3 linked regions of the Solanum lycopersicum genome follow. The protein of the gene in region 3 interacts with the protein of the main gene of each other region in a pairwise test. Links are inferred from orthologs where the notes say so. Each region holds a gene or a part of one and is shown on either strand. Other genes may lie near its edges.

Region 1 (6,821 bases), on a different chromosome or scaffold from region 3:
TAAAGATTCGTAAAGTAAAAGGCTAGCACGTTTATTATGTCTTTTAAGGCTTTTTAAAGCATCTAAAAGAACAGTTTATGTTATCAGCAAACTTATAAGGCCAGTCGGATTATACCACTACGCCAAAACTTTGAACCATTGCTCAATGCAAAACCAATGTGTTTTTTTGCTTATGGTTTATGACGAAGTCGGAAATTTTATTCCAAACATGCTATAGAGTTTGGGATCAACATTGACGAAATCAACATAATCCAAATAAAGCATCTTACATATTGATAATTTCTTAAACTAGACCTGTTTAATTTATAACACAACTGGCAATTCTTGAATATCTGAATTTGTCTAAGTGGACATAGCATTATCCTATCTAACTTTCACGCATTAAGATATCATAAGAAATTTCCAACATATCATATGATTCTCATTCTTGAAAAATCTACGCTTTTCCAAATCTAGAAAACAGACAGAGATCGAGGAGAGTTCAGTTGAACCCCCTTTTCCAATAAGTACTCTCCAACTCGAAGCCTAATGCAACCATTTCACGTGTTTTTATATATATATATATATATATATATATATATATATATATATATATATATATATGTCAAAGTCTACTTATTTACTTAAGTTGGAAGCCTAAATTTGCAAATTTCTCCCATGTGGGGGGGGGCCTTAGGTTAGGCAAAGGCATGTGTTAACATTAGATTAGCAAATAGTAGAGCTTTTACAGCTCTTCTATACAATAATTGACAGTAGGTACCAATGCAAATGAGCTGCCTCTTGATTTCGACCACTTATAACTAACTTCATCCACTTTGAATATGATTTTATACAAAGATAAGCAAAGCTTGGACCAGCCACTTTTAACAACGCATCATGAGGCTATTGGGAAATGAAGGGATCCTGTACGGGTTGAAAATAGGTTAAGACCAAAAAAAAATAATCAAACGCCTGACCCGTCTATATTTAATATGGGTAAACAATGCATTAAATGCATGATAATGTAGATATTCATATAACTTGTGACGCTAGATGTTTGAATTCTCCTTTACTATGTGTGTGTTTTGGGTGGGGTGGGGGAAACCAAAGAATCATCAGAAATAACCTCTCTACCCGACACAAAGGTAAGGGTAAGGTCTGTATACATGTTACTGTCTCCAACCCTTGTGGAATTACACTGAATATATTATTGTCGATGATGGGCTAGAATACAAATATTCAACAAATTGAACTAAAATGCACATTTCTAATATGCAATTTCAAATCGACTAGGAGAAAAAGTGAAGAGGAGGTAAATTAAGATGATACACTGGTCATTTTTCTCTGGTTCCAGTTTTACACAAATTCATTTTCTTGTACAACTTCTGGGAATTGGAGTGGAACTAATACACTTTTGGCATTCTATGTAACTGCAGCAGACAGTGCAGGTTACTTACATTGGAGAAACACACAATAATCATTGCGGAAACAACTTTAAAATCAAATTTCAACTACCACACACCGCTCTATCTAGACACCTATCACTAACTTTAGTGAAGAGCTTAGGGATCTGCAACACCTATCACTAACATGAGTGAACAGCTTAGGGATCTGAATCACCTATCACAAACGTGAGCGAAGAAGCTTAAAGTGCATTAACACTGCCTTCTTCGTTTCAGACGAGTACCACTTGGAGGTTGTTGTTGAAGGCTCGATGAAGGGGAGTAACTAATGTCAGGCACAAACACTGCAGAGTCGAACGGATTCTGGTAAGTTTTGGGCCAGTAAAGTCCAGAGGCCGTAGGTGGGGAAGGAACTTGTGGCACTGCCCAAGATGTGTCTGGCACCTGACCCAAGCACTCATCACCATCTAGTTCTTCATCTTCAACTCTTAAGATTGATGAAGAGTCCGACTCTCCACCAAGTTTGCCATTATCCGCCTGATAGATTTTAATGGAGGAACTAATTTAGAAGCCATTGAACATAATCCCTGTGCAAATTATTGATTATCTGGGTATATCCATGCATTCTACTTATAGCAAAGAGGCAAGCGATATACCGAATATTTCTTTTTAGAAAATAATTGACTAGTCATATCTAGCAACCATAAGGTCGAAAATGTATCTTCATATACTAAGCACCCATAGAAACAATAATGTGACTTAACACCAAGGCATATTTTCTGTAGCATGAATGCCCAAAACAAAAGGGCATGATGCAATAGCTAAAGCTGCTTCTATTTTGTCACAACCCTAAGCAAGGTTGTGATCCAGCCACATGCTAATAATAATGGTGCACTTTAGAATGTCTATATTCAACACTAATCGAGACTCGGAGTTCCAAGCATTTGAGAGGCCCAAATTTACTTGGCGAAGTGCGATATCACCAATATGGTAATACTCCAACAATCTTTATCACCTATGAGTTTGTCATATGAAGGGGAAGGGCAAGTTCGTGGCAAAATGTCTGTCCAATCAAAAGATTGGGTTGGGGCTACCAGTATATGCATAAAGTGGTCCTACCAACAGATAATCCAACCATAAACTCATTTTTCCAGTTCCATGTTTTTAGATGAAGATTATTCTTTGGTTTCTTGTAGGGGAAAATACACGCTTACGACTTAAACCCTTAAGTATAGATAACAGAGCATGCATGCCACACAACATTACTGGCAGGAATAGACTCCATCAGGGATTTTTCTCTTTTGGATGATAATCCAATATCAGAAATACAGATGCAGTCCAAGATATTCATGAAAAGTAAGATCTAAATAATACCTCAAGTAATCAGTCATCCATCCCATACTTCTGATTAAAATGCAGTCCAAGAAATTCATCTAATTTCAATTGTGAAAACTACAAACAACAACTACAACTTAAACCGTACCTTAGATGATCCATCATCCATGTATCCATAATTTTGATTGAAATCACTCAGACCAATAAATTCATCGAACTGCCATTGTGGCATACTTCCAGCTGCAGAACCTCCAGCAAACGGAGACTTAGTAGGAGCAAAATCCTCAATGCCACTGACCTGGGTAGGTAACACTTTGTTAAATTGAGCATCCAATGATACTGAGGCATTCCGTTTTGAAAGTGGAGCAGACTCTGGCTCAGAAACCTTCTGAATGGACTGTGATGTCCCTGAGGATGAAATACCACCAGGATCAACAGGTTCAAGTCCTACTTTCACTCCAGTCAGCAAAAATCTTTGGTGAGCAGCAACATGAGGATTAGCTGTGTGAATAGCAATATCACATTTTCGGCAAAGTAATGCCCGATCCTCAAGACAAAAGAAATAGCCAACTGTTTCCTGCATAAATAGAATCCTTTTTATCAATACTCAGAATAGTACGGCACCAATAAACTGGAGATATGACCAATTTAAAAAAGGAAAAAAGAAATTGATAGATAAATAAACATGAATTGTATACATCTAAAGTCACACTGAAGCACAGAAGTGAAGGGACTCTTATTAGAAGGTAGCAGAATTTCATAAACTTGGGAAATAACAGTTTTGGGTCCACAAAGGAAAAGGAAAATAAAAACCTCAGCTATCAAATCAAATCTCCAGAAGAGAAAGATGCAATCACTTCCGCTATGCCAAATGGTAACTTATGCTTCATGCAACAGTATGAGTCCAACTAATAACCACAAACTCCTTAACGTGATTAATATCTGCACTTACAATAGAATAAAAGGCCAGTAATGTTCATGATTTGATATCATGAGCACTCCAGATGATTGCGTAAGCATTACAATCTGAACAGGCACATTTAATCCTATGTGATACTAACATTTTCAACCTCTAACTGAGCTTCTATATGTTTTTTGAAACATGGAGTGGATCCCCCCTAAAGCAAAGGTGTGGGTTGCAAAAGTTAACAATAGTTTTCTCTCTATGAATATTCATAATTATGAACTGGAGAACAGGTTATGGCTAAGGCTCCAGATTAGGTTTCTCCTTTATAAGAGGTAAATGCACCATCACCTCACCTTCTCCCCCCATCCCAAGACCTCTTTTTTCACCCTTTTTCAATAAGATAAATTAATAAAGGAGACTGGACTCAACCTCAGTTTTTCCTCTTCAGGAGAAAGTGAACAATAAACGATCCTTAACCATGAACCCTTATGTGAACAACAAGTAATCACAATTGGTTGTCCTTCTTGATATGTGTAATACACTTTCTTCTGATGATCACATGTTTGGACTGAATTCTGTCATTACATCTCGAATTCCACTTTTATTCCTATAACATGGATCACCCGATAATGCATTTCAGTATATCTTATAAACAGATGTTGAGAAACCTCTAAGCAGAAAAGTAGGAATCTATCACCTCTTGCTTCCTTAATCTCTTGCCCAAAAGGACTGCCAAATAAGGGAAAAGGGTAGCCCATAGTTTAACATTAAGAACCTCTAGATGAGCCCTCCACATGCCATATGCAAACCATATCCTACATTAATTTCCATGAATCAGCAGCTTTTCATGGAACCATAACCAATCAAGAAGGCAGCATAATATTTAACTTAGACCTCCATATATCCATTCGTGAAAAAGATCTGCATATCTTCATAATGCATGCAGGAAGGAATACCCCTAATCTCCTTTCTTTATTTTGTTCTTCCCTGCCTCTTCTGTGGGTTTCCTTTTTATTTTTTGAAGGGAAGGGGTGGGACATCAAGGTAAGCAAAGACCAAATATGCAATTTCTATTGAAACAACATGATTAAAAGAAATTAGATTTGCACCTCGATTTTAACTTTACTTGCATATCTTTCCACAAAACAAAAGAATTAGTTCAGTAGCACTTGAAATTTTTAAGACACATATACAGTAGTATCAGGCATGTAGTGGCTAACTCGATTGTTTACCGTCATTTTTAGAACATAAAAATTGCCCGAACAAAAGAGGTGGAGTACAATGATCTCGTTTTACAAGAACAAGGGATATGTACAGATTACAGAAATATGACAACCATAGGGGTATCAAGTTGCAAAGTCACAATATAAAAATTTAAGAGAGGGTGGTAGAGATGAGGCGTGAAGGGCTGTCAGTATAGGGAGAGGAAGATGGACTTACATATGGTGTTCATTAAACTAGAAGTATGTACAACAAGGTCCTAAGGAGGTTGTGTCATGTGTGAAGATGTTTGGAGGGTAGAGGTGTACCCATAGCTTACATTAGGGCGAATAAGGACAGATACGGTGGAGCCAAGATCTGGGTACGGAAGTGGGAAGAGACTAGGAACACTTTCAAGTCACGACGGGATTGCAACATAGATCAACTTAAGCCCGTTTTAATTTGTCTGGTGATGGATGAACTGATGCAACATATCTGATGGAGGTGCCATGGTATATGCTATTTGCAAATAACATAGTATTGATTGAATAGACACACAACGGAGTTAACCGTAGGCTGGAGGTTGTAAGACAGACTCTGAAATGCAATAGGTTCAAGTTGACTAGGACCTAGACATAGTGCTTATACTGCAAGTTTCCCTTATTAGTATCATTTTTATTATTCCCATACAAGCTTAGTCTATGATTTTATCATTACATATTGCTTCCTTTGCCTCAATCATTGATATTACTTATTCCAACTACTGTTCTTTTCTCCATTATTTTCATCAAGACTGTATTTTCATCCTTGAGCCAAGGATCATACACAGTCTCACCGCCTTCCCAAGATAAGAGTAAGGCTGCATACATACCACCCTCAGACGCCACTTGTGGAATTACACTAAGAAATATTGTTATTATTCTATAAACAGTAGTATCAATAAACCCACAATACCTATCATTAACTTATACTACTAAAAAAAAACCAAAAAAGTAAAAAAAAAATACAACTTTATCTACGTCTAATTTACGCTACTCCAAAACAAATAAAAGTAAATACAACTGACACAGCTGAATCCGAATAGCAATATCCACAGAATCCATTCAATTCACTGAGTACAATTACATACCTGGCAGATATCACACATAGGCATAGATGAAGAAGAACCAGATAAAGGAACTCTCTGATGTTTACTAGCAAGCTTATTAGCAGCATGAACCTTCTCATCACACGACCAACACAACGCCGCCTCATCGGCGCAGCACAACACGTTCGCCTCCGCAACCTCACAAACATTACACTGAATCTTCATCACTTCTTCAGCACTCCGACGTATGAAGAAGCAAAAGATCTGGAAGTTGCAAAAATGGGTTTATGCAGTAAATGAAACGAATAAACTGTGAGCTTTCTGAGAAATTTGGGGGAAAATAAAGAAATGGTTGATTTTGAGAGAACGTGTCGGGTTTATAATGGTGACCCGCTGAGCTGGATGTGGGTACTGTTAACGATTTTATTGTATCTACTCCCAATGATATTTTGTTATTTTATATATATTACTATAGTCCTATAAAAAAATATCAATAAAAAGACAAGAATAATATCCATTAGAATACTTTATCCGAAAAAGATCTTCTTTTTTTTTTTAATAGAAGCCAAAAGAAAGATTATATGTTAGATAATATCTATGTAAAGAGTCAAAATCAAGTATTAAAATACTTTTTCTTTTTTAAATTAATAAATACGAAAAATGATTAAATTTCAATAGACTTTCCTATTTACAAGTTCAATCACTTGTTATTCCGATGGAATTTATACGAAACGATTTGATGTGGCAATGACTGATATTGAAAATCAGATTTTAAAAGTATTTAAAAAAATATGTGATTTTTTTTATTCATTGGTATAATCATATATGTATTGAATATGCACCAAAATTTGAATAAATGAGAAATCATTACCTAATACTGTTATTTATGAAATTTAAACTCGCAATATCT
Region 2 (6,081 bases), on a different chromosome or scaffold from region 3:
TAACAACTGTTGTTTCTTTAGGTTCCTTGGTGACTCAAAATATGACAAAGTATTAAAGATCTTTTATGTGTGCGCCATCAGGCTCGAATGCATGAGATGAAGGAAAAGGACCACACATATGTGGGGAATGCAGATGCAAATTCACATGTATGTAAAGTCTGTTTCGAATCACTAACTTCTGCAATGCTCCTTCCTTGCCGACATTTTTGCTGTAAGTCAACTTTCTGATTATGTGCTCAGATTATCTTCACTCCCTTGGGTAGGATCTGTCTAATGTAGTCTTGATTTGCAGTGTGTAAATCTTGTTCCCTTGCCTGTGCCGAGTGTCCAATCTGTCGGACTGAAATTGCAGATAGGATTTTTGTCTTTACTTGAGACGCCATTTCAAGTGCTTAAGCTATGGTGAAAGGTTGGTGGTTGTTTCATCGTGAATTCCCATTCTATTTTACAAATATGCATAAATTCTGAAGTCACAACTTGCAATAAGGTGCTTACTTTTCTCCCTCTCTTTGTAGGAGGGTTCTCTTCACACTTGTGAAACTCGCTTTCTCAGAACAATTCTTTAAATTGATCAACTGTATGTAATGTCAACAGTATACCTTTTTTTTCCCCACTTATCTACCAATCAACTGTAAATTAAGAAAGACACTGGGGACAAAGGACACGGTCGAATACTATTTGAACTCAGGGAGTTGCTTCTGTCCACAGTTTGATATCCTTGCACTTCAACTGTAGTATATAGAGAACACTACTGCAGTCACAATGTTGTGTCGTGTAAGTAAAAAAATTTTGAGCTTGTAGGGGCTATAATCTTGTTCTCTTTGGTCTGACATTTCTTTATTTGTTATTCCACATGGTATATTTCTTTTTGGTTTCTTGGTTATTCGGAATTTAAATCTTCACTTGGAATTGTTTTTTTGTTTTTCTACTAACTTGCCTTTCTTCAATGTCTTCAACATGTAATAATCAGAAGCTTTAACAAGCACGCCAGCTAGTCCGGTTTGTATATTCCTTAGGTGCAATGTGATATATGGACTACTTGGATTCCAATGATCATACATAGATAATCATACATAGATATTTCATAGGATATTTTAGGAGTGGGGTTTGTAGACAAGTTATATCAAAGATTTAACGCATAACTAATATGAATATTATTCCTACCGAACACTGTTAATGAATTTTTCCAGTAGAAGCAGAACATCCCATCACCCTCATTTAAAGAATATTCTCATATGAGCTTTTAGTAAGGTCACATGGATCGGTCTACTGCTATAGAACTCAATTGGGAATAAGGCATAGCCATGATACCATACTAACTTTAGACTATATTCAACGAGTCTTTCATGTTTAAACAATTTATGTACTAATATAGAGAAGCTCGAGTAGTACATAATCTAAAATTTTGAATATAAGATGAAATGTGTTCCAATACATAATCTAAAATGAATATTGAAAATTCATATTTGAACTAGTTATTTTGATTGTCATTGTGCATTAACGTGGTGTAGATTATAAATGATTGAACTGACATTGATTGCCTAGAAAGGTCGTCGTCGAAAATCTTGGATGCCATATCTTTGCATCAATCTTCCATAAATAATTGATTTGGCCATGAATACTTGAACAAATAGGAATACCATATTCAATAATCAAAGTGGGTAATAGGCACAAGGCTTTCCCACTAGCATTACAAAAAGATTGGCCTCCCACAAAGCAAAAAAACAAAAGTACCCACATCTAGTAATACCCATTCCCATTCAGGTTAACATACTGCAACAAGTCGAAGTGATTTGACTTGCAAAAAACAAATAACCAAAAAAAAAAAAAAAGAACAGTGGGGCTTTAACTTACAACATGTGTTACATGTCCAAAAACAAAGTAACTGGTCAAAGTTAGTAACCAAAAGAAAAGGTCAGATGGCAGTTTATATAACTCTTTTCTTAATATCTTAAAAGATATTATGCCCTTATTACCAAGTCTGTCCTATAAGTTGCTAGGTTGATGGAGAGTTGATCTGTGGAACAGGTACTCCATTTGATATTATGAGGTATCCCCACTTTAGTGGGGGAAAAAACTACACATCTGGTCGTACCTGATCAAAATTCTGCAATCAAACAGCATCATTTAGTTGCAAGTTCTGAAAATTTTATTATATTCAAAAATGGTCAAATATGTCATCAGTTAATAATATTGGTCTAAAATGCTCCTTTTTGTCAATAATTTGATCCAAAAATGCCCATATTTCGAGTTAATGACATTTTTAAATCCGTAAAAAAGAAACAGTTACCATAGGAAGAAGAAGAGGGATATTCAAGAAAATCTTCAACATGCCAACCAGGAAGAGTCTCAGTCAAATATTCTGATATGCTACTAGTTGAAACAGAACCCTCTTGTACATAATCAACATGAAAATAGTTATGTGTCGATTCTGTAGTACTCGAAATCGAATTACTCTTCATCCCAAAATTTCCACTAAGTGCTTTAAAATTATTTGTACCAGCATTACTTGCAGCAGATCCAGCTGGGGATATTGAATTTTGGTTATTATTATAATTAGAAGCAAGTATATCAGAAGATAGCTGCACTCCACTTAGAAGAAATCTGTTGTGTTTCTTTGTGTGTTCATTTGCTTTGTGTATAGGCAAGTCACATTCTTTGCAAAGTATTGCTCTATCTTCTTTACAAAATAGCAATGCACGTCTTTCCTGAAAATAAAATACAATAAGAAATAAATGTTAATTTTCTACATTATACACCATAAAATTAAATAAGTTCTACTATCAGCCCATATTTTATGCTCATCGCTAGTATATGTGTTAATAGATCATGATTTTTCCTCTCATGTTCTACTGAATTAGCTCACCGGAGGAAATGCATGGTATAAATAAATTATCACTATATTAGTCGGGAACTTCCTAATTTTTTCATATGATAACATTTTTTTCTCACTGATTCAATTAAAATATTTTTCAGTAGTAATTGTTGATTGTGCAAAAATTTTACACTGCAATATATTTCTCAGATGTTGTTAATAATTTGTTATCTCGAAAAATTACCTTCCTTAATTCAATTTTCTTCATCAGATCAAGTGACATTTTGACGTAATAATTTTAAATTGAGTGATCATCTGTGAAACCAAACTCGAATATTATTAGTACCTGGCAAATGTCACAAAGAGGAGAATCTTTGAACGAAGGATGAATTAGAGAAAAACGAAGATGTTTGCTTGCAAGCTTGTTGGCATGATGCACTTGATAATCACAGCTTTGGCAAAGTGTGGCTTCATCTGCTGAACAATAAACTGATGCCTCTTCTTTATCACAAACATCACATTGAATCTTCATTTTATTTTTCTTTTTAATATTTGTACTGTTTCCCTAAAGAGATGTATATATAGTTAGAAACTTAGAATAGAAGAGAGTAAATTTGGGAAAAAGACAAAATATTATGGGCACAAAGGGAGTTGTGTTCGTTGTGGGCTCACACCTAAAGTCTCTGAAGAGTTTCAGAAAATATATTAAAATTTCTCTTTCAATGACTGAATAAAGAGAAATCTCTGGAAATAAAAGACAATGGCTTCTATAATGTCCAAATAAATGTAAAGACAAAATAACCAAACAAGTTGCCTTTTTTTTAAAAAAACACTTTATAAAAAGCTTTCGCACTCTCACCACTCAATGGTTCAATTATATTCTAGCCTTAGTTGATGAGCTACTATACATTTGACAATTCGATCAAAATCATTTATCTTAAAAAATTCTTTTTGATAATAAATGACGGTGAGATGGTTGAACGCTATATACAGACACAAACTTATCCAAACATTACCATTACATTTATTATTATTTTATTTTTTTTTAAAAAAAAGACATAATCTTTAGCAAGCAGTTATTTTGATGCGTGAAAATGTGGGCATTGGTGCATGGGATAGGATGAAGCTGTTATTATCCCATTTATTGATATTGATTGATCGATACGGTGATACCCTCTTAAGCTTTGAAATTGGAAAATGGAAATTAACATATGTAAAAGGTAGATCTTTATAAATATTTTGGTACAAGCTAAGCCATTTATATTACTTGGTTAGATAGATCTACCTAGTCAAATATTTGTGTAATAAGATCAAGCCATTTATATTAGTGTAGATATTTCCAAATTATTTAGGAAGAGTACCAAAATAATAAATATTTATCAAATATAATTGGCATAGAGAGGGGGACATGGAATATGTATAAATGCTAAAGTATGTCAGTTTATGGGCAAACAAAGCCAGTTGCTTTCACTTTAATTAGTTTTTCTTGCAGAAATTAAAAGGGGTGGGTGGGGTTTGGCTGGCTTTGACAGCTACTATTTGAATTCACATCTTATTAGGGTTAAACCTAATAATATCAACTGATGATTGTATAACATATGGCTACACTTAATAAGTGCTATTTACCCCTATATAGATGATCTAGCCAGCCAGCCTCTCTTTAAAATCTTTTGTTAAATCCTATTTTTGAATTTTTTTTTTAAGTCAACAAATTATTATTTTGAATTTTCACTCGATGTTTGATACCTATTTTGAGGTCTCGATCTTTTAAATTATATTGTGGAGATTCATTAGGGGAAAACGCACATCGCCAATAACAAAAGCGATCGAGTAGAGGAGAAATAGATACTTGTTGTCTCCATAGCCCTGGGGTTCTGTCTAGGTCTCCTATGTGCGAAACATAAGGGACTAGTTCTAATAGAGATTCCCCTTGGTCTAATTCCACGCGTAATAAAGGAGTCGGCGTGGCATAAAATGTAAAGTGAAGTTTTGGGGAGTAGAAAAAATTCCCTTACAGGGTATTTCGAAAGTGTAACCTAGGCAACGGAAAAGGGACCCGATAATTCAACTGGAGGAGCGACTCTTTGATACACCAAACCCTAATAGGAGATACTTTCTTCGGTCCAATTAGTAGTATTCAAGGTTCAAATCTAAAACCAAATAGTTATGTGATTAAATTATAGTACCATTTAGTTTGTTATTTGGTTGACAAGTTCGGAATAACTTATCCCGGAATTAATAATTAGTCTCTGGATAAGTTATCCCTCCCTTTGGGTGGTATAGTAATCCTTAGATAAAATAATTAAATGACCAAAAATATCTCTTTCAACCCTTTTATTACATTACTTTTTACATACATGAAGGTTATTTTTATAAACTAATAAATTGTTTTTAAAATTTATTTATTTTGAATACAACAAATCAAAAACTCAATAAAAAATAATCTCATCATAATTTATCCAATCATAACTTGAATTCAAACGATTATGATCCAATCATAACTTGAATTCAAACGAAACGACAGTTATATGTGGAGGGATCATATTAATCCCAGTGATAATTTTACAAAAAGGTTGAAAAATTGGTGAAAGGTGGAGGGATCATATTAATCATAGTGATAATTTTACAAATTAAAAGGTTGAAAAATGACCAATTTTGAATGATTGGTTACAATGGACGAGTTGACAATGTTGGAGGTATGTAAAAGTTCAAACAAATAAGTATTTTTGAAGTTTGAAAAGGTAAAAGACAAATTTTTCTAATTTCAAGATTCAAACAGAAAAAGAAACAATTATGCCAAATACGACTTAATCAAGCTTTTCAAATTTAATTGACTTTGGCATATGAAAATTCGATGGTTGCTGTGTAAATGGCCTACATTATTAATTAGTTCACACTTGAAGCTTTTCTAAAATGGAACTTGAACATTTGTTTACTTCAATATATATCTTCATCTTGAACAAAGTTCTATATGATCGCATTATTATGATTTTGGGTTTATCTATAGATTTATTGCATTGTTATTTTGAATTTATTTGAATATTTATTCCATGTCACTTACGTCATTCGTTATTCATAGTTAACAAAATTTTATCGACTCTAATAATACTACTAGTTATGGGCTAAAATAACTACTAAATAAACGAGTTGAAATAATATTATTCATCCTTTGCTCAAGTTTACAATGTTTTTTCTCAAAAATCCATATTAATACGACTTAAAGAGTATGAATGTGAAATAATCAACTTTCAAATTATGTCCGATCC
Region 3 (7,086 bases):
AATTACTTAAGATGTTTCTAAAATTATTTAATATTTTTGTTAGCGTGAAATTACATTTTTGCCATTCATCATTATTCATTTCAAATATAGAAAGATAATTCTAAAATTATTTATTATCTTTCTTCATAGATTTTTGTTAGCGTGAAATAAATTTAACACATAATCGACCTATAATAGATATCACAATAACTCATACAAAATATGAGTTGATAACAAAATGTGAATAGAAATAACATTAGTTTCTTGTAATTATTCTTGGTAGATATTTGTAAATATGAAATTGAAGTTTTACCCTAAGGAATTTAATTTGTATATATATGATAACGTAAGGAATTAAATTTATACATATATGTAATTGAAAAATAATCAAATAGGACTTCACCTCTTTCTTTTTGCTCTTTGGACCTAAATATTTAGGTTCGTCATTTCTTTGTTTTTATTGTACATTGTCAAAGGAGCAATCAGGTTTTGGATCAATTCCATTGCATGTATGCAAACCTAACAATTTAACTAGTTAACACAATCAACGAATTTTAGGTTAAGACAAATTTGAATGTACCTAATTGGTTTTCAATTGCACAAATTCTTTTACACCGAGTCTTATCAGTACATCGATTTGGTTTTTAATAAAGATTTCAACTCACTAGGGAACGCTAGCAAAGGTTATAGGTAATTGTAGCATATATCATCCAAGATTAGTCCATGCAACTTACCAAAGGCTGGTGACTTTAAGAATAGCTTAGCCACAATCCTTCACTCTCTGCTGATAATATATAACCGACAACGGTTAAGAGTAGCAAGTATGCAATGCATCAAATCAGAACAATCCACCCGAAACTAGCATGCATTCTCAAATCCAGAAGAGAATTTCTCTTCAGTGCCTACATAGGATCTAAACAAGAATGCTGACATATCGACATAAGATCGATCATATGTCTACTTCCTCCCTTCCTGTGCACCTGCTGTTGTGTTCTTCAGTATCTGCAGATTATAACAAAAGAAGTCAAACCCCAAATATACACCGTTTTCTTTTTGGCCATCTCTGAAGAAAGCAAATTTACAGCATGGAAAGATTGAAGCATTTGAATTCCTTTTTGTGTGGTCTTTGGAGATTCTTATAGGCGGATTGGATATGCAATATGAAATCATGAAAGTTGATGTTTTGTCAATCAGGTCAATGGCATTCCAACAATTAGATGTTTAATCATGATAAATCCAAGATTTGACTGATAGTCACATAGAGTTGTTATTTCTAAGTTGTCTTTATTGATTTTCAGCAAGACTCATCTTATAGTTATTCTACTAGATAAGTACCAATCTTAACCGGCAAGAGGGGAAGTGTATAAGAAAGGGTTAATATGAAATAGCCACGCCTGTGACTTAAATACAGGCTGAAAGATGTGTATAGATACAACACATGCTCAAGGTCGAAATTTATAGGAACCGGTTACTGGTATTACATGTTCATGCAGACAAGCCTTGAGAGTTTTACCCAAGTAATCTCTACACTTCCCAATTAACATGAGCGTAGTTCTTAGATTTACTACAAGGTAATAACTAAGAGTAGAAAGCTGACATCATATATCATGGATGATTACGCAATTCTTTACATCTCTCGCTACCAGATATACTATGGAAGATACAAGAACACTTCATTCATACATTATATGTTCAGCTTAAATGCTCTGTACACATATGATGGGCAGTATAATGCATATTGGGGAATATAGAAGGTGAGAAAGCTTCCATGCTTTGATCTATGTTCATACGCTAGTACATTTCTACTGCACATAAATTACATAATACTAATGTAACTTCAGGAGGCTGAAGTCACAGCATATTGTTGATAATTCATAGTTTGTCTCCTCGTCTTCAATGTTTAATAAATAATTGATGGGACATAACAAAAGCCCGATATAAGAGTGAGCTAAACCAAAGAAATGACTGAGCTTATAAATTGTTTCTGGATAATCCCCCCATTCATCTAATTTATTTTTAAGGCTGCTTTCCCGCACCTTAACTAATTACCCGAGATACCTATCATCACCTCCAACCAGCATCAAATACCAGGTAACTATATTCACCAAGGCTAGAACATACAGAAACAATCACCTAGTAGCTCTTTTACTCTATTGAATTTGAACTTGAGATCTCATGGCTCTCAACTTCTTCATTGAACAATAGACCACAACTTTTGGTGCTATACTCTATTCAAGTATATTGGTCCGTTATCCAAGAAAATGGGGTGATTGACGAGGATGTCACTCACTGTATTGGTGCAACGTGTATGACATAGAGACTTGCATCTGAGTTGCTAGTGATAAGAAGGTTCCACCAAAACATAAAGAGAAATTCTACATAGTGACGGTTAGACCAACTATGTCGTATGGGGTTGAGTATACAGGGGCATATCTAGAGGGGGTGTCATGGGTTCACATGAACCCATGCTACCATCTCTAGATCAAATATAATAGTGTTATATTTTAAGAAAAATATTTAAATATAGATGTGTGAACCCACAGTTAAAGTATCGTATAATAATATGATGACGATGATTGGGTGCACCTCTGTGAGGATAGAAATTAAAATCTTAGATATCTATCTTGTCTTTTTAAGTAGCACCTCTACAAGTAGTTATTGGTTATATACTTTTAGCGTTTTAACTAATTTTTCTTCTTTTTTTTTCCTTAATTTTTTCAAAAATTTTGAAGTGTATTACATTAAAAATTCCTAAAAAATATTTTATATGTATAATTAAATCAAATGTGTGCATTAAAATTTAAACTAGTAGTATTATATATTTTGCACCTACAATTTTAAAAGTTTAATGGTTTTATATTAGAAACTTTAAAGTCAAATTGATCAAATTTATATTTAAGATGCATTTTATTCGTAATTGTGCATCCATTTTGCCGAAATCCTGAATACGCCTTTGCAAGTACATGTAGTTGAGCACTCTCACGTTCAAAAGATGAAAGTTGTGGAAATGAAGATATTGTGATGGATGTGTGGACACATATACTAGGAGATATAGAATAAAATCAGGACAGTTGAAACAAGCTGAGTGTGGTTTCGAAAGAGAATAAGATGCGGGAAGAGATTCAGATATGTGAAGAGAAAGATGCACGAATGTAGAAATGCGGGGGGAGGTGAGAGTTTGGCTGTGAATGGATTCAGTAGAAATAGAGGTAAGTGGAAGAAGTATCTGAATAGTAATTAGACCGGACATGGCACACGTTCAAGCATATAGGATATATAGATGAACAATTCTATTGCAAAAATAGAAGTAGAGAGAAGAATGTTTACATGTCTAAGCATTTGGTTCTCATTTTGCAAAGTAGACAACCTCTCTTCAAGTTCTGCATTCTTTGTTTCCAATTCCTTCACCCTTGCTTCCAGATCTATCAAATATGCTTTCTTCCTCTCCCTTGCTTGTTGTGCTGATACTCTATTTCTCAACAATCTTTTTCAACCCCACCAAAAAAAAATACAATATTAACTAAAATGCCACTGCTATCCAAAAAAAGAAAGTGTGGAAGCCCATAACATGTGACAAGTAGATACACCTACGTGGCATGATGTTTAAGGTTTTTACCTTTTTAACCTTTTGTTTTCTTTGTCAGCTGGGCTTCTTCCTCTCTTCCTTTGAGTCCCAGCTGATGGTTGAGCTTGACCGGCGGCCGATACTCCATCTCTTCCAGAAGCTGACGTTGTCCCCGTCGCTTCTCCGCCCATCTCCGGCACTCTTCTGATCTCATCATCACTCTCCATACCTTCACAAAAAAACACAAAATGTTTTTTAAAAACTATTTCAAAATCTCAACCATACCTAACCCAAAACAACACATTCTTCAAAAAATTACTCCATAAATTCGTCAAAATTAAATGTTAAAAAGCTGGATTTAAATTTTTTTTAAAAAAGATTACCTTCTTTGAGTTCATGATGTAAAGCTGAACTAGATGATCTCTCACTACTTGAAGGTAGTGAACTAGCGGCAATAGAACTCGTCGCTTGCTCTTGCATTTTTCTCTACACTTGAAAAAAACACTAAATTAAGGGAAAAGTACAGTTTCGTATTTTATTCAGAAAAGAAATAGCGGGACATGAATGTTAAACAAGGAGGGGAGAGAAAGAGAAGCACCTCTATGGAATAATAATCGTTGGATCAGTTTCATATCGGACGGATATAAAGAGGTGATCGTGGATGCTTTAGAAGCCATAAGTTGTCGGCTTAATCAAAGGTTCATACGTAACTGTCGTGGACAAATGGCAGCCTTTCGATTTGATAGTATTAACGGCTATGATTAATTATTCTTAAAACTTTTAAGTAGGTACAACGCATCGGGACCATTTATTTTTGCTGGTTTAATAAAAAGTGCTATTGTTATTACCGTTTTGCCCATGATAGATATTTTATCCACTCCATCTATCCACTTTCAAGAATTTTTTATACTTTCCCCGTCTCTTATTTATTTATTTATTTATTATAAATCAAATATAATTAGAGACGTTAAATAGGTTGGTCCAATCAAATTTTAATGGATTAGAGAATTGTTGGGCGGGTTAGTTATTTAATTAAAGGATCAATAAAATAACAATTTAAATCAGTCATAAGCAGGCCACGGATTGGAACGGATTGACCCTTCAACCAAAAAATAAATAATATTATTCTCTTAAAAAGAATATCGAATGTTTATGTCTATAAACACGACATCAATTTAAATAAAAAATCCTTTATAAATGACACACTTCGGCGAATACTCACAAAAATACATTTATGAATCACACGCTTTGGTGAATACTTACAAAAATACATAATAGCCAACATAAGATTTAATGGATAAATTTTGATCATTCCATCATTTCTCCCACAAAAAACTAGTTTTCAGCAACAAGGCAGCCTAAATACTTAACAAATCTGAATCTCTAACTATTACATGACTCATTAATTAATGTTTTACAACTCCGCTTTAATTTCCACCGTCGAACATATTTGAATCAACATGTGATATTATTTCCTTAAGAAGTCCATCTTCATCTACACCAAGAATATGATATTGCAAAATACTTGATTTTTTTATTTTTGCAAAATATTTAATTATTAATGAAATCTTTACAAATAAAACATTATTAAAAATATATATATAAATATTTTTAAAAATTAATAGCCCACGAACTCGACTCTGAGGTTTACAGGTTGGATACGAGGCCAACGGGGCAAATGGGGCGAGCTAAAAAAGTCTCATTTATAAATGAGTCAAAAATATTAAGCTCAACCCAACTTATTTCAAGGTTGGGTTGGGCTGGCTTCGTGGGTCAAGCATTTTTTTACGGCTCTAAATATGACCCGTAGCTCCATTATATATATATTTATATATTATGAAATATATATGTATTAGCGTACGAATTTAATATTTATTCATAAATTAATTTATGTTATAAATTCATTGAATAAGTGGATAGTCCATAAAGTTAGTACATGAACAATCATTCATATTCACTAGGTTTCATAAACCTTTTTGGATAAGAATGTATCTATTTATTATGATACTTAATATGGTGACTTTTGGAGTGATTTCTCACTTTATAAATAGGGTTGTTCATTCACTATTGTAGGACACACATATGATACTTACATATACTTGAATAAGAAAAAGTATTCTCCTCTATCTTATACTTCTTGTCTTCTTCTTCTTATATAATATTCCGAGCTTTCTTTATAATACGTTACCAGCACGAGTCTCTTCCAGTTCAAGTAAAGACTTTAAAAGCCTCGGAGGTATAAATTTCCTTTTCTTAAATAATGTCTAATCTTTCTAAACTTGGATTTCTTGCTGTAGACATATCGGGAAAAAACTATCTATCATGGGTACTCGATGCAGAAATTCATCTTGATGCGATGGGTCTACAAGACATCATCCAAGAAAATAATCAAGCATCGAATCAAAATCGTGCTAAGGCGATGATATTTCTCCTTTATCATCTTCATGAGGGTTTGAAAATGGAATATCTCATTGTTAAGGATGCTCTGATGTTGTGGAACAATTTAAAAGATAGATATGACCACCTGAAGTTGGTCGTCCTTCCACAGACACGTTATGACTAGATCCACTTGAGACTTCAAGATTTTAAATCTATTAGTGAGTATTACTCTGTCATGTTTAAAATTATCTCACAATTAAAATTATGCGGAGAAAATATCATTGACCATGATATGCTGAAAAAACGTTTTCCACTTTCCCTATCTTGAGTATGCTTCTGCAGCATCAATACCGAGAATTGAGATTTAAAAAGTATTCTGAATTAATTTCACATCTCCTTGTTGCTGAATAACATAATGACTTATTGATGAAAAACCATGATAGTCGACCTACTGGTTCTATGCCATTTCTTGAAGTAAATACGGTAAATTTTCACCAATCTAAGCGTGAAAAAGGTCGTGGCCCCAGTCGTGACCGTGGTCGAGGAAGAAATTTCAATCATGATGATCGTCTTGCACTAAATAATAACATTCAATACCAGCAGTGTAAAAAGAAGAATGAAAAACATGACGTAGTGCAGAAGAAAAATTCAGACGACAAATGTTATCAATGTGGAGGAAAAGCACATTGGCCACGTACCTGTCGTACGCCAAGGCACCTGGTTGAGCTATATCAAGCTTCCCTGAAGGAGGTAAAAAATAACGCAGAAGCCAACTTTATCATGGAAGATACTGTTGAACCAATGCATCTAGATGTAGCGGATTTCTTTGAGAATCTCAAAGGAAAGATAGATCACCTGATAGGTGATGGGTCTGTGATAATGTAAATATATTTTATTTTCGTCGTTTATATGAACTAGTATAAATATGTTTTCCTGGACTTGTAAATAACTAAAAGGGTGTGTAATGTTTTTGTTTAGTAATAATATTATAATGTTTATTTCTTTTATATCTTTTATCTTGAAGAGTATATGGATACCTCAATGATCAATCATGAAGATATTTGTGTAATTAATAGTGGAACAATGCACGCCATATTCAAAGATGAGAAATACTTCTCCTACTTGCTTAGAAGAAAAGCAAATGTTACTACAACTTCTAGTAA

What was found.
Region 1: the proteins of HY5 (region 3) and B-box zinc finger protein 22 interact in binary tests that used the Arabidopsis thaliana proteins (3 or more experiments, as listed by UniProt). The link is inferred for Solanum lycopersicum from reciprocal best matches to the Arabidopsis thaliana genes HY5 and LZF1.
Region 2: the proteins of HY5 (region 3) and BBX20 interact in binary tests that used the Arabidopsis thaliana proteins (3 or more experiments, as listed by UniProt). The link is inferred for Solanum lycopersicum from reciprocal best matches to the Arabidopsis thaliana genes HY5 and BZS1.

Annotation. Positions count from the first base shown.
Region 1 is NC_090806.1:67,407,301-67,414,121, reverse strand, and holds B-box zinc finger protein 22, read right to left. Parts: upstream 4,728-6,821; 5' UTR 4,665-4,727; coding exon 4,519-4,664; intron 4,440-4,518; coding exon 4,322-4,439; intron 3,295-4,321; coding exon 2,866-3,294; intron 1,920-2,865; coding exon 1,635-1,919; 3' UTR 1,293-1,634; downstream 1-1,292. UniProt on the Arabidopsis thaliana protein: Acts as a positive regulator of seedling photomorphogenesis and light-regulated inhibition of hypocotyl elongation, independently and in concert with HY5 and BBX21.
Region 2 is NC_090800.1:93,030,824-93,036,904, reverse strand, and holds BBX20 (B-box zinc finger protein 20), read right to left. Parts: upstream 3,485-6,081; 5' UTR 3,348-3,484; coding exon 3,162-3,347; intron 2,709-3,161; coding exon 2,217-2,708; 3' UTR 2,108-2,216; coding exon of another isoform or gene 2,100-2,107; 3' UTR 2,077-2,099; downstream 1-2,076. Other genes in the region: kinesin-like protein KIN-7D, mitochondrial, read left to right, coding at 82-211, 293-375. UniProt on the Arabidopsis thaliana protein: Acts as a positive regulator of seedling photomorphogenesis. Plays a negative role in brassinosteroid responses.
Region 3 is NC_090807.1:48,172,586-48,179,671, forward strand, and holds HY5 (transcription factor HY5), read right to left. Parts: upstream 4,087-7,086; 5' UTR 4,025-4,086; coding exon 3,928-4,024; intron 3,774-3,927; coding exon 3,596-3,773; intron 3,464-3,595; coding exon 3,307-3,463; intron 982-3,306; coding exon 937-981; 3' UTR 549-936; downstream 1-548.